Schizosaccharomyces pombe: one gene and its partners. The protein of the gene in region 1 binds, or shares a complex with, the protein of each later gene. Each region holds a gene or a part of one and is shown in the gene's direction. Other genes may lie near its edges. The genes, in order: tfb4, tfb5, rad15 and ssl1.

Region 1 (7,848 bases):
TATATGAACTTGTCATTTGACCCCAATTTCGTGATCTCGCTACAAGTAAGTTCTCTTGTGGGAGCTAGGTCAAAGCTTCAAGACATTCCTAAAATTACACAATTGATCGAATCAAGGATTCGACAATGGTTTACTAATCGTTGTGTTTCTCCTCAGTTTCAACAGTAAGTGAGAGTATGAATTGATTCATACTAACTAATTCCCACAGGATCGCAATTCCCAACCTATGGCCAACCTCTGCAAAAGAAGGACATGCGAGGTCCCATGCACCTCAAGAGGAGTCATCTAATGAAGATTAAACATTCTTTTGACGTAATTTTCGGAAATTTTTTTTATCTATGAATTTTAACGATAATTTATCTCTACCAGATTCCACGAAATATATTGATTATGAAGTCGAAATAAAAATTTTAAGCATTAGCTTGCGAAATATGGCGGGTAACTTCGATTCGGAATCCAGCCGTTCTTCTCATATTCCATCCACCACCTATTGCATTCGAATTCTACGTTTTCCGAACACATTTTTTTAACAATTCGTGATAAATTCCTCGCATCATCTATTCCGCGATGCTCGCTTCCCTCAAACTGAAGACCCCAATGCTCTAGCATTCCATTAATATTTGTGCGTGGAACGCGATAAACGTCTTTATAGAAAGACCTAATATCTACGAATGGTCCTTTGATCCAGTCAGGAATTGGCATTTTATCATATTTGAACTGATAATACGATTTGTTAGCGAAATGTGAGACAAACCGAACAAAATTATATTAACACTTACTTGTTTGGCTAAAAAGGACGCCATATCCCAAGGACCATCACAAGCCCAGGCCCAATTTTTGGGCTGTGTTCTGGGTACGGACTTTAAGGGTTCTATAATCTCAATTTCATCAACTGAGGGAACTAAAATATTGGAATGTTTCCGCAAGAATATGAATAGTTCTTCCAAGACATCTGAGAAGATAGGCGCTTTATCAACAGTGCATTGTTGAATTCCTGTCAGTGATTTACAATAGTCAGACAAAGTAGGATTCATGGATGGGCGAACGTAAGAATGAAATTCGTCGATTATGGATTTTTCTATTAAATCGAATAGAAGACATGGTAATTCTATGATCTCGTTTTCGAAGCTAAATCCGCAACCTTCTTCACATGTAGCTTCGACGTCCACAATTAGCAAGTATCGTCTACAAGTATTCAGTTACTGTTAGATAGAAAATGTTTAAACAATTGATGATTTAACCCTACAAACAAGTTTTGTTTTCATTACTAGTAGAAAACTTTTGATAACGTTCTTGTTTTCGTTTTTCTTCAAGACGTTTTTCACGAAATTTCCATCGCCGTTTCAGTTTTTCTCTTTATACTGTGTAAATAATTAATTTATATAAACTCTGAGAAAACGGACTAATTGCTTCTCAATTTCAGTAACATACTTGTTTCCATTCGTACTCAACCCAAGTTCTTGTAGTGCTATACGAATTTCTTCTACCGTAGACGGTGTTTTTTGGTTCATCTCGTCACATGGAAAAGGCCAAACTAAAATCTGCACTGGCGACTCCATAAATTTTTTATATTTTTGGAATTACTTTACCTTTTATTTCATTAGATAAACCATTTCATTATAATGGAATATAAATGTTTTTGAAATAACACTGTTTTGTTGGCAATCTTTTTTTGAACCCTACACTTTTTCTGGGTTGTTGTCTACCTGTATTAAAGTTGGGAAAGCATTGAGAAAAAACACATTATAAAAAGAGGGATGGATGAATTTCAAACTTTGAAACAAAATGCCTCGTGGGATATATCTGAAGACGCAAATGATACACCCAGTTTGCTTGTAGTTATATTAGACGCAAATCCTGCCTCATGGTACTCCCTTTCCAAAAAAGTGCCTGTTTCCAAGGTACTGGCAGATATTACGGTTTTTCTAAACGCACACTTAGCTTTTCATCATGATAATAGAGTTGCTGTGTTAGCTTCACACTCGGACAAGGTTGAATACCTATACCCTTCGATTGCACCTGAGCAAAAAGTCGCAGAAGTAGATCCTACCAAGGAGGCAAATACGTATCGAAAGTTTCGTGAGGTAGACGACTTAGTTTTATCTGGGATGAAGCGACTCATGAGTTCGACTGATAAAGTTTCAAGAAAAACGATGATTTCCGGAGCACTATCTAGAGCCCTTGCATATATCAATCAAGTTCAAAATAAAAATACTCTTCGTTCTCGAATTCTAATTTTCTCATTAACTGGTGATGTTGCTCTTCAGTATATTCCTACTATGAATTGTATATTTTGTGCTCAAAAGAAAAATATTCCAATTAACGTTTGCAACATTGAGGGAGGCACCCTGTTTTTAGAACAAGCAGCAGATGCCACAGGAGGGATTTACTTAAAAGTTGACAACCCCAAAGGCTTACTACAATATCTCATGATGTCGCTTTTTCCGGATCAAAATCTTCGAAAACACTTAAATACCCCAAACCAAGCGAATGTTGATTTTCGAGCTACATGTTTTTGCCACAAAAAGGTTTTGGATATTGGCTTTGTTTGCTCAGTTTGTCTATCAAGTAAGTAGTAACAAAGCTTTACGATAGGCTTTGAACATTTGACCTTTTGCTAACCTCTTTAGTATTTTGTGAACCACGGGTGCATTGTTCTACTTGTCATACCAAATTCACGGTAGAACCTATGTCAAAAAAATTGCACACTTGATAATTCGTTATATTATTATTAAACTATATATTTCTTTGTCTCACACCGGGTGTACAGCTTTATCATATTTGAAACCCTGTTTTTCATTACCTAAATCTCCTTATCCTGGTGATTTGTACAGTCTAGCTCTTTTTTTTTGGCGATTTTTACTTTCTGGCATTTTGATACACTTGAAATGTTAACATTTTTCGGAAGGATCAAACTATTTCCTTAAGGGGCATCCACAAGTAGAAACTTAACGTATAAGCAACTAATTCATTCCAACGTACCCTATTATTATTTATTTCCTTAGAGCTTCTTCTATTATTTCTTCAAGTTGCATTGGCTTCTTTCTTTTCCAAACAGTGCAGTAAGACGAAATTATATACTATTCTTTAATTAATTTACTAACGAATCATTAATGTTGAAGATGCTGACAGAAATTATTTCACAGGAACTTTCCTTTCTACTGTTTATAATCTATTGCATCTCTAATGTTGGTGCTTGATCATTTTAACAATGGCTTTTTTTAAGCTTTTTTAATCAGAAAAGTTATATTACATTGAGATCTATATGAATGCAATTTATAATGAATTGGTTTGATTATTGTAGTAAGGTTACGAATCTTGGTTTTTACATGTAACTCAACCTCTGAATTTCTGTACTGAGCAATAAAAGCGCGGATTGATAATTCATACTAATAGAGCCGGTTTACTTTTATTTGCCCGAATATTCTCAAACTCACAAGTGACGACAAGCTTGAAAAAAAAAAAGTATTTTCTTAAATTCGTTTATTCTGCAATCAGATATTCATAGTTTTTAAAAAAGGAAAAATAATAAAAAGGTTGTAATATATTTGTTCTAAATCTTCAGATTTCAGACGTAAATTAGTCTGATTAACCTTAGGAGCATTACAACCATTGCCTAATCTGTTGATAGATTCAATTACAAACTTCTGACATCCTGAATGTCTATTTTCCACTAATTTTAGAATTTTTGATTGACTGTGCTTTTTAACAGCTCTTTCCCGACTATATAGCGTTTTATTTCAGCAAGACCTCAACAACAAATTTATCATTAACCTTTACGCATAACTCAAATATATTTTGTGCATTTTTTTGTCGGTACTTTAACAAAAGGTCCTTATGTATGTTTTTGAAATAGTTTATTTGGGGTGAACAAATGTTTCGAACAACAAAGCGATATTTCTGCACCTCCTTCAATCGCCGGAAGAATGTCGTAGTGATAGGAGGTGGACACGCTGGCGTGGAAGCCGCTGCTGCTGCTTCTAGATTAGGTGCGAAAACTACTCTTTTAACAAAGTCCTTCGACAATATTGGACAAATGAGCTGTAATCCAGCTTTCGGTGGGATTGGAAAAGGAACACTAATGCGAGAAATAGATGCCTTGGGTGGTGTTGTCAGTGGTGTCTGCGATGAATCAGCAATTCAATTTCACATGTTGAACCGATCGAATGGACCAGCTGTATGGAGTCCCAGAGCACAAATGGATCGGTCGGTCTTCAAAAAAAATATGCAAAAAACTATTTCAACTTATAGAAAAAATCTTCAAGTTAGAGAAGGCGCGGCCGTCTCTATTAATGTTTTGACAGAAGACGATGGTAAACAAGTTTGTGATTCAATTGTTCTTGAAGATGGCACTGCTATTCCTGCCAGTTGTATAGTCATTACTACTGGTACTTTCTTAGGAGGACAAATAAATGTTGGTTTAACACAGTTAGCTGCTGGTCGATATGGCGAGCGACCTTCATTGCCTTTGAGTAAATGTCTTAGCAATTTAGGTTTTAAAATGGGTCGACTAAAAACAGGTACACCTCCCAGATTGAGCTCTCCCATAAATATATCAAAAATGACAGAGCAGACAGGTGACGAAATTCCAGAAACATTTAGTTTTTTAAATTTGGAAAGGGATTTTTCACCGGCATTGCCACAACGTTCTTGCTACAGAACTTATACAACTGAATTGACGCATGAAATTGTTAGGAAAAATCTCGCTTTTGCTCCCCATATGCTTGCTGGTGATATTCTTTCTCCAAGGTATTGCCCGTCATTGGAAGCCAAGGTTACAAGATTCCCTCACAAAGCAAGACATCTTATTTGGCTGGAACCGGAAGGATTGGACCCCAATTCTTGGTGGTATCCCAATGGTCTCAGTAACTCAATGCCTGAAGAAATTCAGCACAATATAATAAGGTCTATTCCAGGCCTGGAGAATTGTAATATTGTGAGACCAGCTTATGGAGTTATGTATGATTATGTTATCCCCACCCAACTAAAGGCAACACTGGAAACAAAAAAAATTCAGGGTTTGTACTTGGCCGGTCAAATAAATGGAACGACGGGTTATGAAGAAGCAGCAGCGCAAGGTATCTTAGCTGGCTTAAATGCAGGTTTAAGTGCTCTTGGTCGTGAGCCAGTAGACATACCGAGAAATACAGCTTTGCTTGGAGTAATGGTCGATGATCTTATTACAAAAGGTGTGAAAGAACCTTATAGGGTGTTCACTTCGAGAAGCGAGTATAGGTTAACTACACGTGCTGATAATGCTGATTTAAGATTGACTCCATTAGCTCAAAGTATAGGTTTATTGGACGACCAAACTCATTGGGAAAGCTTTCAAAGAACTAAATCTTTGTTAGATTTTTCCAATAAAATCGCCAAGGAGTTCATTTTAAGTCCTCAGCAATGGTCAAAGCTAGGAATGCCGATTCCTAATGACGGGAAATATAGAAGTGCTTGGGATCTGTTGAGCTTCACAAATTTGGATCTTTTTTGTGTTATTTCGTGCATTCCTAAACTAAAGGACATTCCCAAAAGGGTACTACAACGTTTAATAATTGAGGGAAAGTATACTTATTATATAAAGCGTCAAGGTACTCAAAATAAACAACTCAATTGTAGAGATGAATCTACAGTAATACCCTCAGATTTTGATTTTGATACTTTACATTCTGTTTCGGCTGAAGAATTAATGCTGCTGAAGACGATTCGTCCAGCTACAATTGGTCAACTGAAACGCATTCAAGGGATTAAACCAGGAACTATTATTCGACTACTTCGCCATACATATTACAACCCAGCAAAAGAGGCATGGTTACGAAAGGTATATATGCCAATGTATGATATGCATTCGAGCGAAGAAAACCAATCTACAAATTTATAACTCTCGACTTAATTTTCACTATATAATAGGATAAAATAATGATATGAATCTCATTTAAAAAATATTTGACAACCAAATACAATTTTTAATAAATGCTTCTCTATGAAAACATTTATTTTCTAAATTTACACCCAAATTTTTAAACAAAAACATCAAGAAAGTTGATTTCTGATGATTTTCATTTCATAAATATTAGATCACGTAACCATATGATTGAAGCACGCTTTGACCGTCGCCAGGAAGATGCGTGCTAATGATTTGAGATAAACGTCCACCCATATTTCTGTTAGCAAGATTCATTTCCGTAGCACAATACTGCTTAAGGTCAGTAATTTGAGGGAATGGATCAACCCTCTTTCCGCCAGTAGTAGCCAATCTGGAAAAGGAAGCTTGGAATGACATCGAATCAGCATCGATTTCGTCCATAAACAATTCTTCATCTGCATCTGTTTGAGCTTGTTCAATAGGCATTTCGAATAATTTGAGGATACAAGTTAATAATGGGATAATAAGATTCTCATAAATTGCGTCTGGGGCGAGTACTAGATCACAAGTAAGAAGTCGCAGTAATCCAAGAGCACTGATTTTCCTATCTAATGGAAGCGCCAATTTTTGTGCTTGAGGAAGAATAATTGAAGTCATCAATTGGCCAAATACTCCAGACTGGACTGCATCAACACCTTGGATCAAATTATCTGGGCCGCAAGTACCCGTTTGCTCAGAAGCAACAAAAAAGAAGAAAATCGTGCATCGCAGAACGAAACGCTCAGTCCTCGAGTTTTTTAATCTGCTTAACAGCAAAAAGAATATGTGGTTGATATAAGGCGCAAGTATGTTAGCATTGAAAACTGTGAAAACTCGGTCCAAGAGATCAAACCCAAAATGATCATTAACCTTTGAAGAAATCAATTTTTGGAAAATTCCCAAAACCGGTTCAACAAACTTATTGGAAATAAATATCTGAGGACCACGAAATATCATTGCCCGTAATAGGCGAACTAAGGCAGGTATATTACCCTTTGAATCCCATAAAGCTGGAGATAAACACGGCTGTATGAGATTGACAACAAAGTCAGGAAGAGGTTCATTGCCACTAGCTTCAACTAATTGAGATAGCAGTTGTAGGACATACGGAATAAACTCAGTAACATCTTCTATAAGCACATTTTGAAAGACTGGAAGTAGGGCATTTTCCAGTTGAGAGACGGTTTGGGGACCAGATTTAGATAAACTACGAATAAGTGCACCAATAGATTCGAAGAGATAGTGGTTAAATTTTGGATTGGAAGGATTCTTGCTAACCTCTTCCGTAATTTTTGTGAGGTGCTGAAGAAGAAGGCTAGCAGCTGGAAGAATGGCTTCTTGAGACATAATAATAATTCGCATTACTGCTTTCATTAGATAATCATTTTCGGCAAGTTTTTGTGGTGTGGATGCAGATTCCACAATTAGGAAAAGTTGATTTAGAGCGGGTAATATGTGTGGAGCAATTAGTAAACTTGTAAAGATATGAACATGATTATGACGAACAGTCAGCAACTGATCTAATGCTATTGCAGCGTATGTGTAAACGACAAAGCTGGGCATTTCCAAAAAGCGTAAAATTGTAGGGAAAATGTCAATAAGCTGTTGGGAATTTAGCTGGTTGCGAAATGTAAATACATATTTAATATCCTCGGCAAGAACCATGGGATGAATGACGCCAGCAGGTTGTAAAAGATCCGGCTTAATATTATTCTCGAAAAAAGCAACAACGTCTACCATCAAATTAATAGATGTAACGCCGAGTCTTGTGGATTGACCCTTTATAGCAATAGCCGAAAAGAGCTGAAGCGCTACGTATTTTTTATTCCATTCAAGAGAAGGATTTGTTGAGAATTGTTGAAGATTAGCATTGATGTGAGTTGAGACTACACTCGTAATTTTTTGATCAAAGTGATCCAAAAGTCCACGAACAAGAACGATTGCGGATC
Region 2 (7,103 bases), 1.5 Mb from region 1:
TGCATGTATATGCCACACTGTTGGCGTAGCGTGAAATGATGATGAATGTTGATGAGATGACGGGAGAATTCAATTAGTAAGGATGTTTTGGCAGATGTGAGAAGGTTTGGACGCTGTAAAGTATGGAAAATCAAAATTCCTGAATTTTTGTAAACTCCCATACAAATACGATTACACATACATACAAAAATGCAAATAACAAAATATACACGCACGCATGCACACTAAATAAACAAACTGTGCGTCCATTCCTTTTATGCACAAACGTTGAAGCTCAGGACATCGCACCAACAATCACTCATCTCTTCTCTCTCTACCCACTTTCCACCCACACCCACAGTCTGCATCTGTTTGACGACTGTAGCTCAAGCATCAGTAGCAGCCGCTGTCATCCTCAACTGCTGCTGCTGATGCTGCTTGAATGTACGCATGATAGCAACGACGCACCGCTCTACCACTACTACCGAAGCGCCATCATCACCTCCTCACCTACCATCGCAATCGTCCTCTCGAAACTCTTCGACCGCTTTCACCCGGCTTCCTGCAGGTAACAATGCGCTCGGCGCTTGATTAAAAGAGGCCAGAGGCGATAAATGACTCAGGGTGCATTTGGCCTCGCTACGAAAGGACCCTGTCTTGTGATTTTTCCGTAGCCAATGGACAACCGCCTTGTCAACCTTTTGACTTTGGAATGTGCTAGCAATTCCTCCTTCCCCCTGACTTCAGGTGACAAGGCTTGCATCACGCTGAGGTAGGCGTCGGAAAAACTTTCCTCACAAGGCTGACGTCATGGAATGTGCAATCAAAGTCAGGAGCGGGAACGAGGCAGATTACCAACGAAGCAACGACCATCTCGGAACAACTTGCAAAGAAAGTCAAGGAAAGTTGGCACCACATCACGATCGCGCACCTTCTCCAATCACCTTGCTCCTTAGTTGTTCCGAATCGAGTGCGAGGCAATTGTGGTAAAGATAGTCGGGGGAAACCCTTACCCCATTCACACCACGGCTGATGGCTGCTGTGTGGGATGGAAAGGTATAAATAGAGGCAGGCGGTGCCTAGCATCGCTTCTGTATAGATCATTCATCCATAGTATTGATTTACACTTGATTCAAAATGGCAATTCCTAAGGTTGGTATTAACGGTTTCGGTCGTATTGGACGTATTGTCCTCCGTAACGCTTTGGTCGCTAAGACCATCCAAGTCGTTGCTATCAACGATCCTTTTATCGATCTTGAATACATGGCCTACATGTTCAAGTACGACTCTACCCACGGTCGCTTCGATGGCTCCGTCGAGATCAAGGATGGTAAGCTCGTCATTGATGGCAATGCCATCGATGTCCACAACGAGCGTGACCCCGCCGACATCAAGTGGTCTACCTCTGGTGCTGACTACGTTATCGAGTCCACCGGTGTCTTCACCACTCAAGAGACTGCCTCTGCTCACTTGAAGGGTGGTGCCAAGCGTGTCATCATCTCTGCTCCTTCCAAGGACGCCCCCATGTACGTTGTCGGTGTCAACGAGGAGAAGTTCAACCCCTCTGAGAAGGTTATCTCCAACGCTTCTTGCACCACCAACTGTTTGGCTCCCCTTGCCAAGGTCATCAACGACACCTTCGGTATCGAGGAGGGTCTCATGACCACTGTCCACGCTACCACTGCCACCCAAAAGACCGTTGACGGTCCCTCCAAGAAGGACTGGCGTGGTGGTCGTGGCGCCAGCGCCAACATCATCCCCTCCTCCACTGGTGCCGCCAAGGCCGTCGGTAAGGTTATTCCCGCTCTTAACGGTAAGCTTACCGGTATGGCTTTCCGTGTCCCTACCCCCGATGTTTCCGTTGTTGACTTGACCGTCAAGTTGGCCAAGCCTACCAACTACGAGGACATCAAGGCCGCCATCAAGGCTGCCTCTGAGGGCCCCATGAAGGGTGTGTTGGGTTACACCGAGGACGCTGTTGTCTCCACTGACTTCTGCGGTGACAACCACTCCTCCATCTTCGATGCCTCTGCCGGTATCCAACTTTCTCCTCAATTCGTCAAGCTCGTCTCTTGGTACGATAACGAATGGGGTTACTCCCGCCGTGTCGTTGACTTGGTTGCCTACACTGCCGCCAAGGACAACTAACTAGCTAATCATCCCGATGCTAAGAAACGTCGGGTGGGTGCTTAAAGGCAATGCAGGAAAGTCTTTTGGAGTTGTTTTCCCCGTTTTTTCTTTATGTTAGACAAAGGAGTCGTTGTCGTTTGCAGTGCGGGAGTTTTCTTTTTTAGATTTTCGCATTTTTTTTGTGGACGCGCACTCTATGTGAATAAATAGATGGATGACTTTTTTACAAATTTCCTCTGTTCTTTGATACCCTCCTTCTCATTCATTGTTGCATATATTTTTTTTAATTTTGTTGCAGTGATGAGATGGCTGAGCGTTTGTTTTTGAACTTATAAATACTTATAAATAAATTTTATGATTTTGATAAATACTTTTTTTCGTTTTGGTTTGTGATACGTATAGTTTGCCTGTCTCCTTTTGTAAATGATCTTCTTTTGTAGTCTTGTGTAATCTCTTTTTCATTTGGTCAACTTAAGTGAATTTTTTTTTGTCAGTTTCCTTGTAGGATATTATGTCAAAGTCTTATTTATACTATATATTATTGCTTTGGTGGTGAGTCGCATTTGTGGGGACGGTGTTACTTTACTGATGGATTTAGGTAGGAGGCATCCACTGTCCCCCATTTCGCTAGCTTAAGTTTAATATGAAGATGCACTTAAGCATGAACGCCCGTTTTGATCTTTTTCACTTGTACCGCGAAGAGCTTGTTTTACTGTTTTTCCGTCTGCATCCCGAGAACTAGTTGATCTCCCAATGCACACTTTAGACTTTATTCAAACCGAAGTCGGTTTTGTAATTTAAAAATTTTTACCCACTGTAAAGTACAAACAATTCATCGCTATGTTAGTTGTGTACGCTACTAGCGCATCACATGATTACATGTTAATCAACAAAAACGAAAATGTTTATTGTCAATCTAAAAATACATATGTCCGTTAAGACAAAAGTATGAGGCTGGATGGAATGAGCAATGGTAGCAAAAGGTTTCCGAAATGGTCATATCATTTTTTCAATTTTTGCTGATCTCAAATACCTCAACTTGTTTTATTCATATAAATAATTTGTTTTTGCATATAATCATAATAATCAAATTCATTACCATCTTTAACACAACAAACTTGCATGATATTTATTCTTGTTTGCTCTTACATTCGGCATCCAACGATCATGGGTAACTTGATACCTGTGGCTTAAGGAGCTTGTAGCATGCCATGATTCTGCTGGCAGACACCAAATTTGAGGCAATGCCACGCGCACAAAAAGGCTTACTCTTGGTTGAATGTGACCCAACCGTTAAGCAATTGATTTTGAACATGGACGAACAGTCTCCTGGTATCGTTATCGAAGAGATCGATGAAGAACGATTGTTAGTAAATGAAAGTCGACTAGAACAGGTGAAAGCAGAGTTAGAACGACGCCTTGAGGAAAATACATATCAAGTTGAAGAGTAAGAAGAGATTAGTATGACGAAAGTTTTCTTTGGATGATGAACTGAATGTTTCAGTCGATGGACGAACCTAATATTGTACGATTAATGGATCATTCAATGTCAACGATCTATGATCATTTTCTCAATTTTAAATTGTAAAAAAATTTTAAAATAATGCAAAAAAGAAATTAATTCTACCTTTTATTTGGATATGGGTGAAAAGGTTGGTTTATTTTTTAATGACTTGACGTTTGTGTCAAATTACATAACAGTACCCAAAACTCGTGTACCGATGGGCAAAAATTATGAAAGGAGCCAGCTGATTTTGTATTTTTTGAAAATAAGTTTTGAATATATTGTTAACTACGCCGAGCTATTCAGTAGTTGCTTGCAAGTCTTTATTTAATTTTTAGTATTGAATGAAAGTTTATACTATTTGAATATACTATACTATCTATATAATTAATATGTATAATAAGAGAAATGTTCTTCTTTGTCTAACGATATTTTTATGCATTCCTAATTGAAACTTGGTGGTGTTTCTAGAAAGATAGTTCAGTTCATACGCGTGATAACTTTTTCAACACCGGGAACTGGAAGAACATACAACAAGGAAAAGGCATAGTTTCATGCTTGTCCTATAAACAAATGAACAAGGAAAAAGATCAATAAAGATCAATTTTGCATATTCTAAACCATAGTGCTGGGAGGTGTTTCGGTCGTGATACCTGTTCCACCAAGCGTGGAACTTGAAGTAAAAGCCTGACCTTTAATACCGGCAAAGGTGTAACATAAACCAGTAAGAGCGAGCACAATGCCGGTGGCAATAAGACTAGTAGCCATAAAGATGCAACTGAGAAAGGTTACCACGGAAAATATAAAATAGACAAGCTAAAAGAGTTAATAAACACTGTATGTAAAAGACAGCAGGAAGGCAACAAAGGAATTAAAAATATCCAGAGGCATGCTTTTTCCCCTGTGTGCCTTTCTTAAAAGAAACTATAACAACTTACACCACGGTAATAATTGCTAGCAAAAGCATTTGTAAAAGCCTGGAATTTGTCTGATACAGGGCAAATACGAGAAAGGAAAGGAAGCTCAATAAAAATTAATAGAACGCCCTCAATGATAGTCAAAGCTGAGAAAAGAACGACAAGGGTAACGTGAAAAAGGTTGACAATACCTAGGATAATGCAAACTGAAGGTAGTAGGTTAGCAGATCTGCCTTTTAATGTTAAATGTCAATGGACCATAATTTGTGTGCAGTGAAATGAGAAGTAATCTGATTCAATAAACTTGATTGTCTGCAAAATAAAAAAATTGAGGGACATATACATTCTCATCAAACCAAAAATACTTTTGAACACTCACTTGCTACACCTTAACTCTTTATGCTCATAAACTCTCTTCACAGCTATCAGAAAGTACAAAGCAATCAATACAAGAAGAAGAGAATATCACAAACATTAAAAAGAATAACCAAATTACGCGATTGAAATTCTTTACATACGAAAAATTGAGAGAATTCCAAGCCACTGTGCATAAATACTACAATAAGTTAGTAACATTTCGCTGTTAAAGCAACTGATTTCGCATACGAAAAATTGTAGCTTTTGAGCTCTCCCAAAAACGTTGTCTTTGCTCTGTCAACTATTATAGACTCAAACATGTTGAAAAGTGTAGTTCAGAAATCGTCTTTGTTCTGATGCTGGTTAGATGTCAGTTCATGTCAGTTTATGATGTTTAGCTCGTTGTTATTTGGCGAAGCGAAATTAGTATTTGTTATTCTTTTTAATAACAAAGTGGCACGCAGCGTCAGGGTAACCCAAGTAACAGTTCGAATATGTACTATAGTTAGCTAGGTAAACAAACAATAGCCAGTTGTAAACAATCATTTCATCCATATTTCCGAATATGTAAGCTTTTTAATAAGTTATACAATCTCTATAGTTAATACGAGACTAGAAGTACTAATGAATTTAAGTTTTCTTTAATTTAAAATCAACTGTAGCGACAAAATTTCCTTTCCAAGAATTCACATCACTATTTAAGTAATTTGTTGAAATAGTACATTCAAAAAAACCACAATTATGTTTGATAACGTTAAGCTACCATTTCTTACTGCTAACCAGCAATACAACAAAGGATTGCTTTCAAAGCATTATGCAATTATTTTTTCCCTTAATAATTACATATTATCCAAAGAGTACACATTGCAAAAGATAAAGCAGAAACATCATTGCCCATTTTCTTCTTTGTATGCTGTTCTCGCAACAAAAATCATATCACTGATGAATACAGAAGCAAATAGATGAAATTATTTCAATGATTGTTAATTAAGGACGATAAAATAGCTGCTCTCCATTTTTTTGCTTTTCATTAGCACTCCTGCTTATTTTTTGGGTTTCTTCTCAGCGGGTGTCAAATCTGTAATCATTGTGGTTCACTAGAGGACAGTTACTCTTTTTCCTTGTATCCAGTTTTTTTATCAACGGTATTTATGGATTTCTTATTTTCTCTCTTGCTCATCTTTTCTGAGTAGACACTAGGTTCACTTGTTTTAGAAAGCGGTTTCGCGCCTCTTCTCCATTCTGGAGCTTGAGTTTTAGGGAAATTATACTTAAAGTCTTTTTTAGAATCTATTGAAGAATAAGTTTTATCCAGATGTTTAACAGAATCCTTCGAGATACGCTTTTCGCCAACACTATCATAATCATGCTTTAAACTCTCCGCTTTATGATCATTCTTCTCCTTTTTCTTGTTAGAAAGTGGTCTTTCTAATTTTTCTTTTTCTAATTCTGAAATTGGAGGCCTATCGATCGATTTAGAAGTTGAAGCATCGTTACTCAATTGCAGTTTCTTCATTTGCTTCTCTAAGGAAGCGAAGTTTCCTCTTCCTGGTCTATATCTTTTGATATCTTCAGGTGCAGTATATCCTGGTTTAACAGCTCTTTCACGCCTCACGCTACCATCTTTTCGCCTGCTCTCTGGAATTATCCATTTGCCATCAACCAATCGTGCTCTAAATAAAAACTTTAGTCAACTTAATAAAAAATTTAATAAGCCATACCCTGAAAAACTTCCATTGGTTTCCATAAATTAGTATATACTCTACTAACACGCTGGAAGTTCAAGTTTGGTTTTCGAAGTACTTATACTATTCCTACCTAAGAATTACTTTTCACAACAACACAGTCCTGTCATTACGGTATTTACACTAAAAGGACTTTCTCGTTCTATATGTTATTCTTTATTTTATCTATTTAAAAAGTTATTATTTGTAGCATGCCATGTTACAAGACGAGTCTAGCAGATCGTTGCCTAGAAGCGCATTGATTCGGAGACGGCTTTCATTATTTTTACAGTCTCATGCATTGATGTATTCATTTCTATGGTCAGAATCTGCTAAAAAATCCCTTCTGAATGAAGTCTTTTCTGCGCTTCTCGGATATGACCATACCTTGTGGAATACATTGCTTCCAGAGAGACCAACCATCGATGCCTCCTTTCTTCTCCGTCGTGCTCAAGGACACAGTGAGGGAGATGAGTATCGTCATGGAACCTG
Region 3 (9,709 bases), on another chromosome or scaffold:
CAAGCGATGTAGCTGTAGTACGAAAGTCTACCTAACAAAATGGTAGATCGTAGATGGAGAAAAGCAAGTAGTGAGTGTAGTAAATTGAAGAATGAAGTATATACGACTCTTAATAAGCAATTTTCTTTTTCTTTCCTTCAATCCCACAGAATGTAATTCCAATGGGGGGGGGGTAAAACAACAAAGCAATGTCCTAATAATACAACTGCTAAGAAAACTAGTAATTGAGGATAGAAAGGATAAAAGAAAAAGCCTCAAGCCAATTCGAGGGATGTGGAGAAAGTAAAAAGGAATTAGCAAGAGTTTGGATAATAATAAGTTGCGTTTTCTTTGGTAAAGCCACTTAGAAAAGGTGAAATTTGCATGAGATAATCATGTTTGTGAGACCGGAACAACATCATTGTTATTCTATCCTTAAAATAAAATAGCTGGAAAAAATTGGCCGGACGAGGGAACAACCCAACAATCACCATCCAGGCGCGTTGCGTTTGGCACCTCCTTCCTATGAAAAAGTATACACATTCCACAACACCATGTGCGCAGTATGCAACGTACCTAGCCGTCACCCAACTATAGCGTAAGAGACGCTTGCTACTCTGAAGGGCTGAGATCTACGAAAACCGCCATGGCCGTAGAGGCAGAGGCGCTGAATGAATTTTCATTAATTTAGATCACTAATCATTTACCATTCAAATGCCGCTCCATTCAACTCAACCATATTCACTTAAGGAGTTTTCGTAAGAAATGGCTTATCATTGTCATCATACCATTCAAACATCAATACACACCACACATACACACACACACAAATGTACACAAGCATGCACACTCATACACATATATAAACGCATGTTTACATAAATAGTTATAAAATTTACATATAGTTTTACGCATAAATAATGCAACTGTCATTCTCACCATCTCTATCCAACTCTACCTACCATGTACTATATACTGTATTATACAATGAATGCTATATGCCCGCTTATACTGTAGCTGCCTTGTCGCCCGCCCCATTTGTCCATGGTATAGTATTCCGCACAATTCTTTACCAGAATAGAAATGAAATATAGAAAACATGCCTTTTCAGAAGCGTTTCTCACACTTTCAACAAATGTCGTCCAGCCCATCTGCCAAATTCTCTTACCAAACTAGTCTTGATTATGGCCATCCGTCCTCGGTAATCGAATATTTCGTCCAAACAGCGACGCTTGGCCATCAAAAAATTTAGTGGATGACAATAATCTATGTAACAAATAATACGATAAAATTGCCATGATGAGTAACAAAACAACAAAGGCAATAATTCATCAACTATTGAATAATCATTTAATGGTCGCGAAAAGGAAACAAATATAATTTTCTACAATCAATCATCTACAATGACTGATGTTAGAGCTTGAAAACGGGATGTGAAAAATTCAATCAACATGACTTCAAATGGGGTGAGAAATTGTAATTAAGCAAAGGAAAAAAATAGGCAACAAGGCATGGTTGTAGCTGCAATTAAGGGACTAATGTGTCGTGAAACTCAAAAATGTAAAAAAAAGAATGACAATCCCCTTGCATAATTGAATTACCCGTTGAAATTTTTGGGAAATCCGGTTACTGCAGACGGAAGTTGAAAGTCAACTTTATCTCGGTTCTTTTTTTCCTTTTTTTTTTTTTTTGCAACTTCCTTACCGGCACGCAAGGTCCGTCGCACTTCTGGACCAGGAGTAAACTGCTTACTTATTGAAAGAACAAAGAAAATTTTAACCTTTCTTTAAATACGCTTTCTTTTCTTTTTCTTTTTTCAGGCTATTTTTTTGCTCCTCCCGTCATCCCTAATAGCTAGTCGGCTTTAACGATTATTATTTTAGGAGATGCTAAAGTGCAGATTGACGGTCTTGTTCGTAATTTGCAATCAGTCTATGTCATGATCCCTGACCTCAGTACAGTGGAAGCTGTCTGGCTGGCAAGGGTAAAGGCTAGTAAGTACTATCAATTATGTATGTCAGTTGTGGATGGGGAATTATTATTGAGACTTTTTACAAAGTGTCAAGCTCGAGATTTGGCCATTACATGTCGGTAAAGCAGCTGAACAGCGATATGCCGTTCATAAAAAAGCGTCAGCACAAGTGAAATCAAGTGTCATGACATGAAAGTCTAATCGGTTATTTGCAACATTAACCGAAACTTGTAGAAAATGCGCTCTTTGGCAGTTGAAAAACGCAGACATTACAGATGCTATAAATACATAGTATTAAAAACATAATAACAAATAACAATAACATGTTAATTAATCTTGCTATACATAGTAACATCTATAAAACGCAGTGTAAACAGAAATCATTTTGACATGAATTTCTTATGTAACAAATGAATCTTCCATCTTTAAAGGGAAATCCGATCGCTGTGTTCTCAAGTTATCGACTCCTTTTTCTCATAGCAAAGGCTGAGCAAGCAATCAAAGCTTTTGCTCCTAGGATTATCTAGGACGATGCAACTTCAACATTCGTTGAACGGACCGCATACCCATTTCCTAGGTTCAGGATTTAAGCTTTGTATTGTGTTGTGTGGTAGTACAATTAAGCAAAAAGGAACCGAACCGTTGGGGCTGAATATTGTTTTTCACTATCAAACAGGTAATAAGATATATATGAAGCAAGCAACTTATTTGTAAGCCTAGCTAAATGCTTTATCAATATAAACTCGAGGGAAATATTGGTAGCATAGTATTCCTTTAACTTTTCTTTTTTTTTAAATTAATTTTGATTTCACTTTTTAGTTAACGAAAAGAATTATTTTTTATTTAATAATGGCAAGCGGAGTTGTTTCAATCCAATATATTACATTTACCAGTAAAAAAATTCGATACTTTCCCTCCACCGTGTTAAATTGCTGCATTTTTTTGCATGTTACGGGATGTAAGGAAATAATCTCAAACCAGTCATCCTTACTTTGGTTTCCTACATTTAATGAGCCATGCCATCTATCCTCTATTTCAATACCTTCCTTCCCATTTTTTTCTGCTAAATCGATATGTTGTTTTTTAAATACTCTTTGTTATTAGTACTATATATGCACTATTGATTTTGCTAGCAATGTATTGTATTATTTGTATGTTTTGTAGAAAATAACCTACTCGCCAACCCAAAAATACCAGTTGTTTCCGACAGCGTCATTTATTCATCACACTTTTCCGAAAATCGGCTTTACAAGTCCCGAGTAAAAGTGAATCAAGAAACAGCTACCATGAATTTGATCAACGATTTTGAGTAACCACAGAAAAACTCAGTATGGCCCATTACGGTTGGAATGGGTCGTTGTTATGAATGCCATTTTCTTGTTACCGAGCGGCAAACTCCAACAGTATATTGTTTTGTAGCATCGCTAATGAATGATTCGTTAAGTTTGTTTTCGTGGAATTTCATGCTCTTCTTTTATACCCGAAAGCCGGATACTCGTCGATATACTAGATGTGTAGTGAGTTAATTAATTAGCCAGAAATTAGTGAATGGGAGAGATTTTTAAAATATCAAGATTGATCATTACTAATCATCTTTCATCTTTCACAATACTTGTCATCGATGATTGATAGAGATTGCCAAGAGACATTAGGTAAAATAAAACGTAACAGTTTTGACGATCTGCTGATTTGCTTGATGTCAACCTTGGGTATGTTTTCATTAAACATGATTGCTGATGGGTTTCATAATTCGTGAAAAATTGATAAAGCACTTTTCCTTATCATCTACACATAAGTGAACAGGCAAATCAATCCGTATTGTCTCCTCAACATACGGAATGTCATTAAAACCGGTAAACTGTACTAACCGGTGATTACGGGATAATAAAAAACCACTTCATTCATTTCAAAAACTGTTGATATAGTATTCTGTATGATTTCAAGAAGATAACTCTTCGGTGACTTGCTGTTTATTGCTCACCTGGCGATTCTAATTCCTTTTATTTTTTATCCTGATACGTATGTATTTGTTTTTCCCTCTTTAGAATAATATTCATTAAGCTTGAATAAGCGGTTATTAGTTTGCAAATGATTCAGCAGCTATATGTGAGTTTGCCCTTTTTCACTTGTCTACAGAGTCGGGAATTGACTTGTAAAACAAAATAAATGGAATATTGCAAATGTATTCTTTTTGCCTTGTGTTTATTTAGGAGTAGTATTGCGGAAACTTGTTTTCAGAAAACAAAGTAGCGCTTATGCTCGGTAACTACGAAAATACGAATTTTTTTTCCAATAAACTAGTATTTATTAAGCAATTGCATCTTCCATTAACCATGTCATTTCCATCAATGTATAGTTGTATGTACACCATGTATTTACGAATATTATCCAATTTAACGTACTTTACAGTATTTTGCTTATAAATGTTTACCGTACCAACTCAGCGTTCTTCATAATCCAGTTCTATATGCACTACAAATATAAAGCAGCCACTGTTAATTTCAGGACTCATTCTTTAAGCTTGGATCGACAAGTAGTTTCTCCTGAGATTCTCACTGTAAAGTAGCTCACTTAAACCTTAGGTCAGAATTATTTCTTGGTTCGTTTTGTTTTACCCTCTTCCATCCCATGTTTATTTATTTATCTTTGTGAACTTATTCATATTTGTGTATCAGTGATTGACGACTAAATATTGAACCAAAGCAGAACCTACCTCATTCTTATAATACCCATAAAAATTTATTTCTCGCTTTATTCATTTCATTTTTATGAAGCGATTGTTAAGCGATCTTTACCCACTATTATTCATCAATGCTAGTTCATAATTCTTTTGTTTCAACTTTTTATCTTATTATTTAATTCCTAAATTTTTTTTTGGTCCAATAGGCTGTCATATACTCAAATTAATTTCCTCAAAGTCAACGGATTACACCCATAATGAAGTTCTATATTGACGATCTACCTATTCTGTTTCCTTATCCACGCATCTATCCCGAGCAGTATCAGTATATGTGTGATTTGAAACATTCTTTGGATGCGGGAGGCATTGCGCTCTTAGAAATGCCTTCGGGTACTGGAAAGACCATTTCTCTTTTGTCCCTTATTGTTTCATATCAACAACATTATCCTGAGCATCGCAAGCTCATCTATTGTTCACGTACCATGTCGGAAATTGATAAAGCATTAGCTGAATTGAAGCGTTTAATGGCGTATCGGACTTCACAGTTAGGATATGAAGAACCATTTTTGGGTCTCGGACTAACCAGTCGCAAAAATTTATGTTTACACCCTTCTGTTCGTCGTGAAAAAAATGGGAATGTGGTAGATGCCCGTTGTCGCTCACTTACGGCGGGTTTTGTGCGGGAGCAAAGATTGGCTGGTATGGATGTTCCTACTTGTGAGTTCCACGACAATTTGGAAGATCTTGAGCCACACAGCCTTATATCTAACGGTGTTTGGACCCTTGATGATATCACAGAATACGGCGAAAAAACTACACGATGCCCCTATTTTACTGTACGTCGTATGCTACCGTTTTGTAATGTTATTATTTATTCGTATCATTATTTACTAGACCCCAAAATTGCTGAACGAGTTTCTCGAGAACTCAGTAAAGATTGCATTGTTGTTTTTGATGAAGCACACAATATTGACAATGTGTGTATTGAGTCTTTAAGTATTGATTTGACAGAATCTTCTTTGAGAAAAGCTTCGAAGAGCATTTTGTCTCTTGAGCAAAAAGTCAACGAAGTAAAACAGTCTGACTCAAAAAAACTTCAGGATGAATACCAAAAGCTTGTTCGGGGCCTTCAAGATGCTAATGCCGCAAATGACGAAGACCAGTTTATGGCGAATCCCGTTTTGCCTGAGGATGTTTTAAAGGAAGCTGTTCCTGGAAATATTCGACGAGCCGAACATTTTATTGCATTTTTGAAGCGTTTTGTAGAATATTTAAAAACAAGGATGAAAGTTTTGCACGTTATTGCTGAAACACCAACTTCTTTTTTGCAACATGTTAAAGACATTACATTTATAGACAAAAAGCCGCTTCGGTTTTGCGCTGAGCGACTCACTAGTCTTGTTCGTGCCTTACAAATTTCACTAGTTGAAGATTTTCATTCTTTGCAGCAAGTAGTAGCTTTTGCGACCCTTGTTGCTACTTATGAGCGTGGATTTATCCTAATTTTGGAACCCTTTGAAACAGAAAATGCTACAGTTCCCAATCCAATATTGCGGTTTTCCTGTCTTGACGCCTCAATAGCTATTAAACCAGTTTTCGAAAGATTTAGGTCTGTGATTATCACGAGTGGTACTTTATCCCCCCTCGATATGTACCCCAAGATGTTGCAGTTTAATACTGTTATGCAGGAATCGTATGGAATGTCACTTGCACGAAACTGTTTCCTTCCTATGGTAGTTACTCGGGGTAGCGATCAAGTAGCTATTTCTTCAAAATTTGAAGCCCGTAATGATCCTAGTGTTGTTCGCAATTACGGTAATATACTGGTTGAGTTTTCGAAAATTACACCTGATGGCTTAGTCGCATTTTTTCCAAGTTATCTCTACCTTGAAAGTATTGTTTCTAGTTGGCAAAGTATGGGTATTCTAGATGAAGTCTGGAAGTATAAGTTGATTTTGGTGGAAACACCAGATCCTCATGAAACAACTCTCGCCTTAGAGACTTACCGGGCTGCTTGCAGCAATGGCCGTGGAGCAGTATTGCTGTCAGTCGCTAGAGGAAAAGTCTCAGAAGGAGTGGATTTTGATCATCATTATGGTAGAGCAGTAATCATGTTTGGTATTCCGTATCAGTATACTGAGAGTCGTGTTTTAAAAGCACGGTTAGAATTTCTGAGGGATACGTATCAAATTCGGGAAGCAGATTTCTTAACATTTGATGCCATGCGGCATGCTGCCCAATGTTTAGGTCGCGTTTTGCGTGGAAAAGATGATCATGGAATTATGGTGTTAGCAGATAAACGATATGGTCGGTCTGATAAGCGTACAAAATTACCTAAATGGATTCAACAGTATATAACCGAAGGCGCTACAAATTTAAGCACTGATATGTCCCTCGCTTTGGCGAAAAAATTTTTACGAACTATGGCACAGCCTTTCACTGCGTCTGATCAGGAAGGGATTTCTTGGTGGAGTCTTGATGATTTGTTGATTCATCAGAAGAAAGCATTGAAGTCTGCGGCTATAGAACAATCCAAACATGAGGATGAGATGGATATTGATGTGGTTGAAACTTAATAGAAGCCATTTGTAAAATACTTTGATTCTAATCATCTTTACTAAGGCAATCCAAAACTCATGAACACAGCGATGAAGATATTTGGAAGCGAATGGCTAACTTTTTTGTAGGTGTGGACAATGTATGTATCAACTTGTATTCGAGAGTTGTATAGTGGACATTTCAATCGTCATCACGATACGCATGCTACTTACGAATTGTTTTAAGATCGCAGAGCAGAGAAAAAATATTATTTACACTCAGTTGGCAATTAATTTGCGAGTCGCTAAATTCGAAGTACTTTAAAATTTTTTTAGAGACTGTGTTCAAATAAAATCGGTTTCAGTTGTTGTAATGCTTCTTAAATTTTCCATCCCATCAATAACAATCCAGCGTTTCAAAGAGTGATTATTGGCAATTTCATGCTGCTATGGAAATTAAGCTTACATTAAGCGAGCTAGTTAAAATACGTGATGCAGTAATTGTAAGCCTAGTTATATAAACAAAACATCTGTTTATCATTTAGATACATAAAACAAAAGTTTACATATTCATAATATATTCTCATAATCTAAAAAATTTCCTTGATAGTTTTATGTCGATAAAATTAGTCTCCCATACTTAGTTCTAAATAAATGAACGTTTTGGGGTTGTACAACTGATTCATTGCTGTATTCTATGTAATATATAAATTTCTTGAAAATAAAAAATCTTTTGGTTTTACGGATTCACGGTTGGCTTATACGTAATTGCCAAGCACATATAAGATCAATGATGGTTTCTTTACCAAACTACTGTATAAAAAAATTACTCTAGCACAAAAAGGATACCGCTTTCAGGAATTCTTAAATATAGAAAAAAAAATAAGTGTAGCTTATTGCAAGGGTTGTCTCTAGTCACGTTGGGGTAGTCAGAATCCTGTCATAACTACTGCTTTGTATCTTTGATTAGCAAAGTAACTTATTGAATACAGTCAGCTGTCAAATTACAGAAAAAGAAGCAACTTTAATAGTATCTTAAATGATATAATCTTCGATACAGGTTTCTTTGAGAATTTGGCCAATAGCTAGAAATGTTTAAACGACGTCGAAATCCAAAAGGTCTTGTGTTGAATCCTAACGCCTCTGTTAAAAGCTCTGATAATGATCATAAGGAAGAGTTAATTAACAATCAAAAAAGCTTTGAATCCAATGTCGAAGCATTTATGGAGCAATGTGCGCATATGAATCGACGCCCAGCTTGGATATCTGATTTGGACAATAGCAGTTTGGAAGTAGTGAGGCATTTGGGAGAGGGAAATGGTGGGGCTGTTTCATTGGTAAAGCATAGAAATATTTTTATGGCTAGGAAAACAGTTTATGTTGGGTCAGACTCTAAACTTCAGAAGCAGATTTTGCGAGAGTTAGGTGTTCTACACCACTGTCGTTCACCCTACATAGTCGGTTTTTATGGAGCTTTTCAGTATAAAAACAACATTTCATTATGTATGGAATACATGGATTGCGGATCGCTTGATGCAATTCTTCGGGAGGGAGGTCCTATTCCGTTAGATATTCTAGGAAAAATTATAAATTCTATGGTGAAGGGTCTCATTTATTTATACAACGTTTTACATATCATTCACAGGGATTTAAAGCCTAGCAACGTTGTCGTCAACTCTCGTGGTGAAATAAAGTTATGCGATTTTGGAGTTTCAGGTGAACTAGTTAACTCGGTTGCTCAAACGTTTGTGGGGACTTCAACTTATATGTCTCCTGAACGAATTAGAGGTGGAAAATATACAGTCAAAAGTGATATTTGGTCTCTAGGAATCAGCATTATTGAACTTGCCACCCAAGAATTACCTTGGTCGTTTTCGAATATCGATGATTCAATAGGGATCCTAGATTTGCTTCATTGTATTGTTCAAGAAGAACCACCTAGACTTCCATCTTCGTTTCCTGAAGACCTCAGACTTTTCGTTGATGCCTGTTTACATAAAGACCCTACACTTCGCGCCTCTCCACAACAACTCTGTGCGATGCCATATTTTCAACAGGCTCTTATGATTAATGTTGACCTTGCTTCTTGGGCCTCCAACTTTAGATCCTCGTAAATGTGCAAAGGACGCAATGGATACATAAATTATGTTAGACCTTTAAACATCTTGTCGTCAAAAAGAAGGATTTCAGAAAAATCTTTTTAAATTAAACTTTGTCATGAAATGGATATTTTTGGTTCTAACCACACCTCTTCAATTATAGTGGTACAACACAATGTGGAGAACAATGAGATTTTGTCGTTGACGAATATTTCCGCTTTTTTCTTAATACAAAGCATTATTAGATCGGCCATAAATAGGTATCATATTTTGTTTATCAATTTTTTACTTCATTAAAGTGCTATGTAAATGCCCTCTTTTTTTGGTTATTCCATTATTAATTATCATTACGACTGTGTTCAAATGTAATTCTCGGTACACTGAATTGCTTTCGATTTAAGTCAATGAATGTTTTTTTTAACTACTTGAGTTACAGCGTCCA
Region 4 (8,433 bases), on another chromosome or scaffold:
TCTTCTCATGTTCAGCAAGTGTATCAATTTTATTTTGCAAGACTAGGAATGAAAGTCGAGAAATACTAAAAGCGCTCAAAGAGCCTTCCCAATCTCGTTTCTCGTAGTTTAGAGTACCCTCGATATATTTGGCAAAAGCAATAGCCTCCAAATAAAAGATATGATCGTTGCAATCAAATGCATTCGTAAAGGAAACCAACTCTTTTCCAAATTGATCTGCACGTTTTAATCTGCGCAATGCATGTCGACGTTGACTAGATCGCAAAAAAACAAATTGTTGAAAAGCACGATCAGCATTGAAAAGTAAAATTTCAGCATATCTATAACAAAAGAAGTACATAATTAGTCAATCGGACATTAGCATAATCCTCTTACCTTTTGTCTACTGAAGATTTTGGTTTCCCACCTCTCTGTGTAATATGAAGGGATTTTCGTAATCCATGAATGCGATGGGACAAATATTTTATGTACTCATTTCCTTCATAAAAATGATCAGATCTGGCTTCCAGTAATAAAGGAAAAATATAAAAATTAGCCATTTGCTTAATCAAACCAGAAAACAGTACTTCGCCGGTGCCATTTTTGAGACATAAACCAACGGTGCTTAGATTATCGCATCCTAGGCGTGAATCGTTAAACTGCAAGTTAACGATCACTATGCTATAGTTCATTACTTTAACTCACATTATTTGGTAAATATCTAAAAGCTATTATTACCAAGGACGTTGAAAGCTTAACATGCGGGTCCATTAATTACTAATTATTAATTGAATTTGGAATTTAATATCCACTTCTTAAAACGGGCTGTCTGCATATCTTCATTGTCCGATTCCACTTGTTTCTACGTCGCTTGCTTTAGATCTCTTAACTAAATATTACTAAAAGAGATACTGTTATTATATTAGACCAAAAAAAGCAATTTAAGTATACACTTTTGTCTTACTAAATATTCTCATTAATCGTATTCATAGCATGTTTATAATCTTATAAAAATTGATGCTAATTTCAACATTATAAGGCCACTGAAGGAATTCTATCGCTAAGCTCATAGATTACTAAAGATTATGAATGCGGCATACTATATAATAACTGCCAAATTAGTAGTTTACAATCTCTCCAAACTACTTAGAAAATGCGTTGAGTTTGTAGAAGAAGTATATTGCGTTATACAGTATTGTGAGTGGTGGGTGATAATATATTTATCATTGTAACAGCTAATAACTGGACTGAGAATGATGCTCTGTTTCAATCTAGACTTCTAATTTTAACTACTATTTTATATCAATATCAATGGATGTTTTAGTAAACAAACATATAGTCTTCTGCTATTGTTCAACAAATTGAGATTAATTGGTATGTAAGCTACGCAGTTTGGTATCTGATTTAAGGATACGTAGAACTGCGGTGAGTTTTCCTTGTGACCTATTATATTACAATACACAGGTTGTATAAGTAGCAACTGAGTATAGGTATTGTATTAACTGGGTTATAATGTTACCTATCACTAATATAGCTCATAACTGAACTGAGGAACGAGGTTCAGCAGTAGCTCTATTTATAGTATTCAGATAATATTGATCTTAATAGATTATCATTAAGATCAATCTCCATATCGTATCATACATGGTACGATATATAATTAGAACATGTGACATATAGTGATACTCAACGTAGTGTATCATAGCGTAGTGTAGTATTGCTGACATGGTATTCCATGTAGTGTATTTTGATGCGTAACGTAATGTTTAATAGCGATTTTAGTGTAGCTCACTGTCTAGCAATTAGTGTTGCATACTTTTCAAAGTATGATAAAACGAAGCAAGGCATCGCTATTATAGCGTATTGGTACGCAGTACCTAATTAATGCTAACTTGTGCGTAAATTGATATTGACAGCACAATGATTCAATTTCATTCCTTAACAAGAGCCATCTCTTTTTGTTGGATGCTTAGAACGCGTGGATTTTTAGGCTATTCAAGCGTTTGGTTTTGATCTATTTATCTATTTTATATTTTAATTTCGCATTTTATTTTGCAATGTTCAAGTTGAAACTCAAACGTATATAATCACTATTGGTAAAAGGCTCTTCAAAATGCCAGACGAAAAGTTACCTCAATACAATGAAGTTTGGAATGATTTGGAGAAGGGTTGTTTACATTCTTGTCCTTCATATTCAGTCAATAATCATGTAAACAATCCAATTGTCAAACAAAACTCAACATTAACACAACCATCGTTACGAAAAAAAAATACAATGGCTGCACCTGCTAGATTAAGAAAGCGTTCGGAAAATGTGCGACTTACACAAGCTAGATATGCGATATTTCATATCTTCCTTCCTTTCATTCTTACTTTATTGCTTTATCATAATTTTTATAATTATTTCGATCAGGCATTGGCGGATCTTAATTCTGTGGTTAAATATGTTATTGAAACTATAGTGTTAATATTTACATACGTGATGACAGTGATTATTGTTTATTGTAAGTTTTTGAGATGATTTGAATTCATGACTAACGATTTTCTAGTTTCATTTTCGTTAATTAAATTAGCGTTTGAAGAAGCTTATGTTTATGCACCGTCTGTAGCTAAAGCGAATGAAGGTCTAGCTAAAGCGATTGCAGGCCTAGCTAAATATGTAGCTAAAGCAATTCAAGGTTTGGCTCATATTATTTTATCCTTACTGTTGTTTATTCTCGGGCTCGAAGTAATAGAACAAGATGAAGAGACTGGCGACGTTGAAATGTCGTCTATGCGAGGCCAAGCAATTACCACAGAGCCAGCAAGTGACAATACAATGGCTGAGGAAACCGATTGCAACACTTCTAAAGATGTAGAATCGGGCAGCAACTAAAAGTCATGGCTAGAGAAAAAAATCAAGGGGCTGCCAACAGTTGCGAGGGTTTTTTTTATTTCATCACTAATTTTCTTACTTTCTTGCAAAAGTCACTTTTCTCCTTTATTTCTATTCCTTGTATTATTATCTTATATGCATCATCACTTAATCATTTTCGATGACAGTCATCACTATTTTTGTCTCTGTTATAGAGCAAACACGATGTGTATTTGTGGTGCTAGGAAAATTCATTTAACTAATGAATCTGTTGTCAATTATAGATTAATCATCCTCTTTATTGTTTTACCAAATTGATATACAATCCTTAATTGTGACTTTGTAAGATTTGCGACTTAAAAAATTGTTCAATTAAGACATTACTCAAAAGATGCAAAGTAGTGATTTAACCTTTTTTTTTGTTGGATATATACGAAATAAGGATTCCATTCATCATTCTCAAGTTTTGGAGTTTTAAAAACCAGTATATACAGCAAATATAAGTTGAAATTTGTTTCTAAGACAAATAAAAACGAAAAAATCGACCTTGGAGTAGAACGAGAACTTCTTAAACAATGCGATTTCGCAATTCCTAGTCAGTAGCCAATTTCTGTTCGAGAAAATCAATTAAATGAACTCTTTCGTCCTGCAAACCATCCAACATTCAGCCTAAGCGAAAAGTAATTATTCTTCTTATGTCCATATCACTTGTAGCTTTACATAAAATATTGGCAATTACGCAGTTTGCAAATTTCTAAGTCTCTACTATATTGCAATATGCAGTTTGTACAAATAACCGAGCCATAAATAATTTTATAAAATACGATATATAACTCATCCTTAAAGAATGAGGAGTACAGATTTATTTTATATTCTTCTTTTACTTTCATAATTTCCTAAGTTTTTTCAAATAACAGAAATAGTTGTATACAAATTTCATATCACAAATCAAAGACTGATAAACACGAATTAACGCAGCATAACGAAATTCATTATTATATTTAACAAATAATGGTTGCGCTCCTTGTCCGTATTGTCTTCGTGTAAATGGTCTCTTGTTCTAGTACTTACTTAGTCTTACCATTTTACTGGTATGCCCAGGAGTCATTGCTTTTTAAAAAAATAAAACTAAAAATAATAAAAGAAAGAACTTTCGCTCATTGCATGTAAAGCAACTCGACGCGACTATTCAAATTACCAAAAGTTCACTGGGTAAAACGTGACTTGAAGAAATACATTCGCTTTGAGTTCTTTAGTCTGTAGAAACCAAGGAATAGAATTTGTGCAATATTCATTTATCTAATTATCAAATAGCGTTCTGGCATAATACCTATGCTCGGTTAAAATAACACTCAATGAATGAGAACCAAAAAAGTTTTGACTCTGACAAGTCGGAAAGCGAGGATGAACAAAAAAATGGAAGAGTTAAAGTAAGAAGCAGGAAAACTGACGATAATGAGGGTTATACTTGGGAAGGTGAATATCAGCGTTCTTGGGATATCGTACAGGAGGACGCAGAGGGTAGTTTAGTAGGCGTTATCGCTGGGCTTATTCAAAGCGGGAAACGTAAAAGGTATGGCGTATCAAAATTGGTTTTCTTATGTTCTTCATTTGTTTGTTAGTTGCCTATGTTGGGCATTTGGAAACATATTAGTCTTTTATAGCATCGATGAACGGTATACTAACTTGTCAATCTGATTTAGACTTCTTAGAGATACAACTCCGTTACAACGAGGTATTATTAGACACATGGTCTTGGTGTTAGATTTGAGCAACTCTATGGAGGAGCGTGATTTTCATCATAAGCGGTTCGACCTTCAGATAAAGTATGCTTCTGAATTTGTTCTTGAGTTTTTTGAACAAAATCCTATTTCCCAATTATCGATTATAGGCGTAATGGATGGAATCGCTCATCGGATAACTGATTTGCATGGGAATCCTCAATCGCATATTCAGAAGCTTAAATCTCTTCGAGATTGTAGTGGAAACTTCTCTCTTCAAAATGCTCTCGAAATGGCTAGAGCTTCTTTATCACACATTGCTTCCCATGGCACTAGAGAAGTCCTTATCATTTTTGGTTCCATCTTATCATCAGACCCTGGCGACATTTTCAAGACGATTGATGCTCTGGTTCATGATTCTATTCGTGTCCGTATCGTTGGTTTGGCTGCTGAAGTCGCCATTTGTAAAGAAATTTGTAATAAAACTAACTCATCTACGAAAAATGCCTACGGCGTAGTCATCAGTGAACAACATTTTCGCGAACTTCTACTCGAAAGCACAATACCTCCTGCTACTGATTCGGCTAAAACCACTGATGCTTCTTTGGTAATGATGGGATTTCCTTCTAAGGTCGTTGAGCAATTGCCAAGTCTTTGTGCTTGCCATTCAATTCCGTCTCGTGGTGGGTTTCATTGTCCTCGTTGTAAAGCAAAAGTTTGTACTTTACCGATCGAATGCCCTAGTTGTTCTCTCGTTCTAATCCTTTCAACACATCTTGCTCGATCTTATCATCATTTGTTTCCATTGAAAAACTGGAGCGAAATTCCTTGGTCCGCAAATCCAAAGTCCACTCATTGCTTTGCGTGTCAGTTACCTTTTCCGAAGCCGCCGGTTTCACCGTTTGACGAATCTACTTCATCGATGCGGTATGCATGTCCCTCGTGTAAAAATCATTTTTGTTTGGATTGCGATGTTTTTGCGCATGAACAACTTCATGAGTGTTATGGATGCCAATGCTCCGGAAATTAAAGTTTCTTTTGGTATATTAATGAACGCATTTATTTATAATAATTATTTTAAAATACTATTATGCTACTTATTCACAAATATGTAAAGAGATATATATTTCAATTTACTTATTTAAAGAGATCGTTGCTTAACTACCTTATCCGGAAGATAGTGAAAATTTGATCTATTGATGCTTCAGTAAGTGTTAGAGCTGTATCATATATAAAATAAAAACTAATTAAAATGTGGAAATGAATATATCCCTATATTTACAGATCAGAGGTCAGTATTGCAGTTGTAGTTGATTACAGAGGAAACCTGTTTTTGAGAATTCCATTTCTCGACTAAATAAGCAACCTTCTGACCGTACTTGCTTCCCCGAAGAGAAACCATGTGCTTTTTTATATGCGTAATGACAAGGTTTTTCTCAGCTGGTTGACCAAGTTGAATTATTTGCTGAATTAAATAGTTGCCATACTGATCAGATGCAATATCGATTAAAGGCTGCCTTGTTCGGTCAACTCTCGCGTTTGTAATTTGTTTTAGATATAAGGAAATGAAATTTTTTGGGCCAGACTTAATTGCTTTTTCAATGACCTTAGAGGCAAATTGGTCAATACTAAATTCCACTGCACGATTCAATAATGCATCAATGACTCTTTTCAAATCCTCTCCTTGTCCGTTTTCTACCATGTGTTGCACCACCCAGTTTCCCCATTGACCACGTGCAATACCGTCTAAATGAAAAATGATTTCCTCAATGCATTCACGCTTATCTTTCTCTACACAGTTCTCAAACATATTTTGGACTACGAGACTTCCATTTTCCCCGACTGCAACTTCGTGCCATTTTCCTCTCAAGGCATTGTTTACGCGATTCATGACATTAACTGGATACTCGTACCATTGCGTTTCAAACAATTTTTGCCAGACATGGCATGCATAGTGGTGCATTATTGTAACATCAATAGTGAGGAATAACTCGTCCATCATAGCCAGTTTAATATCTTCTGTCACATTATCTATTGCCTTTTGAACAACGTGGCATCCGAAAGGATCTGTTGCCAATTTTAACATATTTCCCAACATGGCAGATCCCATTTGTCGAATTTGTGGGGCAGTGCCATGCTCAAAACATCTTTGAACTAAGAAATTCCCAAAGCGGTTAAGCATCAGAGGATGGATTTGAGATATTATGGAATCAACAATGTTTTGTTTCATATCATAAGAAGAAATTTTCAGCTTCTGTTGAAGGAATATCGAAGATTGCTGATCATTGCTTACAATAATTTTATCAATTATAACATTCCAATCATATACAGCATTCCTTTCAGAGATTTTTCTGTATCGGGCAGCTGGTTCTCTTGAAGAAGTAGACTCGGGGATGACAGATGGGTTCGAGTTATTCATAGTTTCCCATATGGACTGTAAACTGGCGGCACTATTTACTCCTTTCGAGTACGAAGAACTCCGAGAAGAGCTGAGTGAGTATGGCTTTAACGTGCCAGACGTATTCGTACTCAAGTTATTTGTGGATGCCGAGAGATTCACTTCATTCGACCAACTATCACGGTTCTTAACTGTATAAGTTCCAAGATCGACATCCTCTGGAGATAATGGTGTTGACGGTTTAGAATTGCTATATCGAACATTGGTACGGATCGATGGTAATGAGTTATGGGATTTTAGCTTGCAATTGTCCGATTGGAAATTAGCTAACGAAGCCTCATAAGGGTTAAAATTCGAAGAAGATATCCATGGTGAAACTGAAAAACGAAATTTTGGATCTCCGTTTCTATTAGAGTTCAAATTTTCCTCAGAAGAAGATGCAGACAATATATTTTCACCTGTTACGTTTTTGACTGCTGTTCCAAATACAGGAGCATTCGTGGATTTAATACTGTTCGAACTTAATTTTCGAGAATAATTCAACGAACTTGAAACATCAGCCAAAGCAGTTGCCGAAGGAACAGACAAAGAATCCTGCAATGACATGCTCTTAGGAGCTGAAGTTGCGTATACTGCATGCTTTTTAGTCCCAACAACAGGTCGAACTAATTCTACAGAAACAGAGGTAGATGGGTTATGAGCAAATGCATCATTTTGAGAAGAAGCCCCATCAGACATGATATTTGCATTAGACAAGAGCGTTTGTAATTCTTCAATATGTTTCGTTTTGGTACACAAATCTCTTTTCTGATTGTCGATCTCTCGTTGTTGACGTTGAACAACAGTGCTTAATGCATGGAGTTTCTTTGTAATATCGAAATAAGATTCGCTTTCACTAACATTTGAAAGTTCATTTAATTCTGACTTGGAATGCTCCAGCGATTCAGAGATTGAATGATTTGCAGAAGTCGAAGGTAGCCTTAAATCAATTGACTGCATAATAAACTCTATAAATAAAAACTAATATTTAATGGATATGGTTTTTTCTGTTCTTTCGGAAATTGGATATTGGTGGATGAAGAGTTGCTGACACCAGGCTATAAATATCCAACCAAAACAAATAGTGTTTACCAAGGTAAGTTCACTCAGAAAAATAAACAATAACAGAAACAAACAAAATAAACAAAACAAACACCAATCGAAGTAATATTTGAGAAAATAAGTAGATTAAGGACAAGTATATCTAAAAAAATTAAAAGAAAAACAAAATATTTGTTAGTATTTTTACAAAGTAAAAGATCAATAACAGTCTCAAAAAAAAACTTTCTTCACTTTTGAATGACAAAAACAAAAAGAACCAAAAAGTAAAGTCTTTCAAAAGATTACAACCCCAATGAATTATTTATATAGAAAAACAGAGCACACTCAACAATATTTCAACATTGAAATGAAGAAATAAAGCATATTATTTCAAAAGCTTA

The links.
Region 2: tfb4 (region 1) and tfb5 share a complex: the UniProt entries of both Schizosaccharomyces pombe proteins name them as parts of the 7-subunit TFIIH core complex.
Region 3: tfb4 (region 1) and rad15 share a complex: the UniProt entries of both Schizosaccharomyces pombe proteins name them as parts of the 7-subunit TFIIH core complex.
Region 4: tfb4 (region 1) and ssl1 share a complex: the UniProt entries of both Schizosaccharomyces pombe proteins name them as parts of the 7-subunit TFIIH core complex.

What each region holds. Positions count from the first base shown.
Region 1 is NC_003423.3:1,314,403-1,322,250, reverse strand, and holds tfb4 (transcription factor TFIIH complex subunit Tfb4), read left to right. Parts: upstream 1-1,674; 5' UTR 1,675-1,757; coding exon 1,758-2,568; intron 2,569-2,630; coding exon 2,631-2,713; 3' UTR 2,714-3,181; downstream 3,182-7,848. Other genes in the region: ERMES complex subunit Mmm1, read left to right, coding at 1-164, 209-299; double-strand siRNA ribonuclease Eri1, read right to left, coding at 418-717, 780-1,185, 1,247-1,354, 1,432-1,511; ips1 (GIDA family tRNA uridine 5-carboxymethylaminomethyl modification enzyme), read left to right, coding at 3,875-5,875; karyopherin/importin beta family nuclear export signal receptor Kap109, read right to left, coding at 6,068-7,848. UniProt on the Schizosaccharomyces pombe protein: Component of the general transcription and DNA repair factor IIH (TFIIH) core complex, which is involved in general and transcription-coupled nucleotide excision repair (NER) of damaged DNA and, when complexed to TFIIK, in RNA transcription by RNA polymerase II.
Region 2 is NC_003423.3:2,806,521-2,813,623, forward strand, and holds tfb5 (transcription factor TFIIH complex subunit Tfb5), read left to right. Parts: upstream 1-3,353; coding exon 3,354-3,560; 3' UTR 3,561-4,019; downstream 4,020-7,103. Other genes in the region: glyceraldehyde-3-phosphate dehydrogenase Tdh1, read left to right, coding at 1,117-2,127; SPOM_SPBC32F12.12C (golgi membrane protein involved in vesicle-mediated transport), read right to left, coding at 4,229-4,429, 4,552-4,736, 5,049-5,086, 5,137-5,207; protein mni1, read right to left, coding at 5,996-6,560, 6,609-6,634; N-end-recognizing protein, UBR ubiquitin-protein ligase E3 Ubr1, read left to right, coding at 6,829-7,103. UniProt on the Schizosaccharomyces pombe protein: Component of the general transcription and DNA repair factor IIH (TFIIH) core complex, which is involved in general and transcription-coupled nucleotide excision repair (NER) of damaged DNA and, when complexed to TFIIK, in RNA transcription by RNA polymerase II.
Region 3 is NC_003424.3:659,894-669,602, forward strand, and holds rad15 (transcription factor TFIIH complex subunit Rad15 ), read left to right. Parts: upstream 1-4,454; 5' UTR 4,455-4,888; coding exon 4,889-7,207; 3' UTR 7,208-7,754; downstream 7,755-9,709. Other genes in the region: MAP kinase kinase Byr1, read left to right, coding at 8,260-9,282. UniProt on the Schizosaccharomyces pombe protein: ATP-dependent 5'-3' DNA helicase, component of the general transcription and DNA repair factor IIH (TFIIH) core complex, which is involved in general and transcription-coupled nucleotide excision repair (NER) of damaged DNA and, when complexed to TFIIK, in RNA transcription by RNA polymerase II.
Region 4 is NC_003421.2:380,285-388,717, forward strand, and holds ssl1 (transcription factor TFIIH complex subunit Ssl1), read left to right. Parts: upstream 1-3,906; 5' UTR 3,907-4,188; coding exon 4,189-4,406; exon of another isoform or gene 4,407-4,536; coding exon 4,537-5,584; 3' UTR 5,585-5,763; downstream 5,764-8,433. Other genes in the region: srp68 (putative signal recognition particle subunit protein), read right to left, coding at 1-320, 376-539; SPOM_SPCC1682.06 (uncharacterized protein), read left to right, coding at 2,093-2,483, 2,529-2,854; meiotic pumilio family RNA-binding protein Mpf2, read right to left, coding at 5,840-7,951; ggc1 (guanine nucleotide transporter), read right to left, coding at 8,418-8,433. UniProt on the Schizosaccharomyces pombe protein: Component of the general transcription and DNA repair factor IIH (TFIIH) core complex, which is involved in general and transcription-coupled nucleotide excision repair (NER) of damaged DNA and, when complexed to TFIIK, in RNA transcription by RNA polymerase II.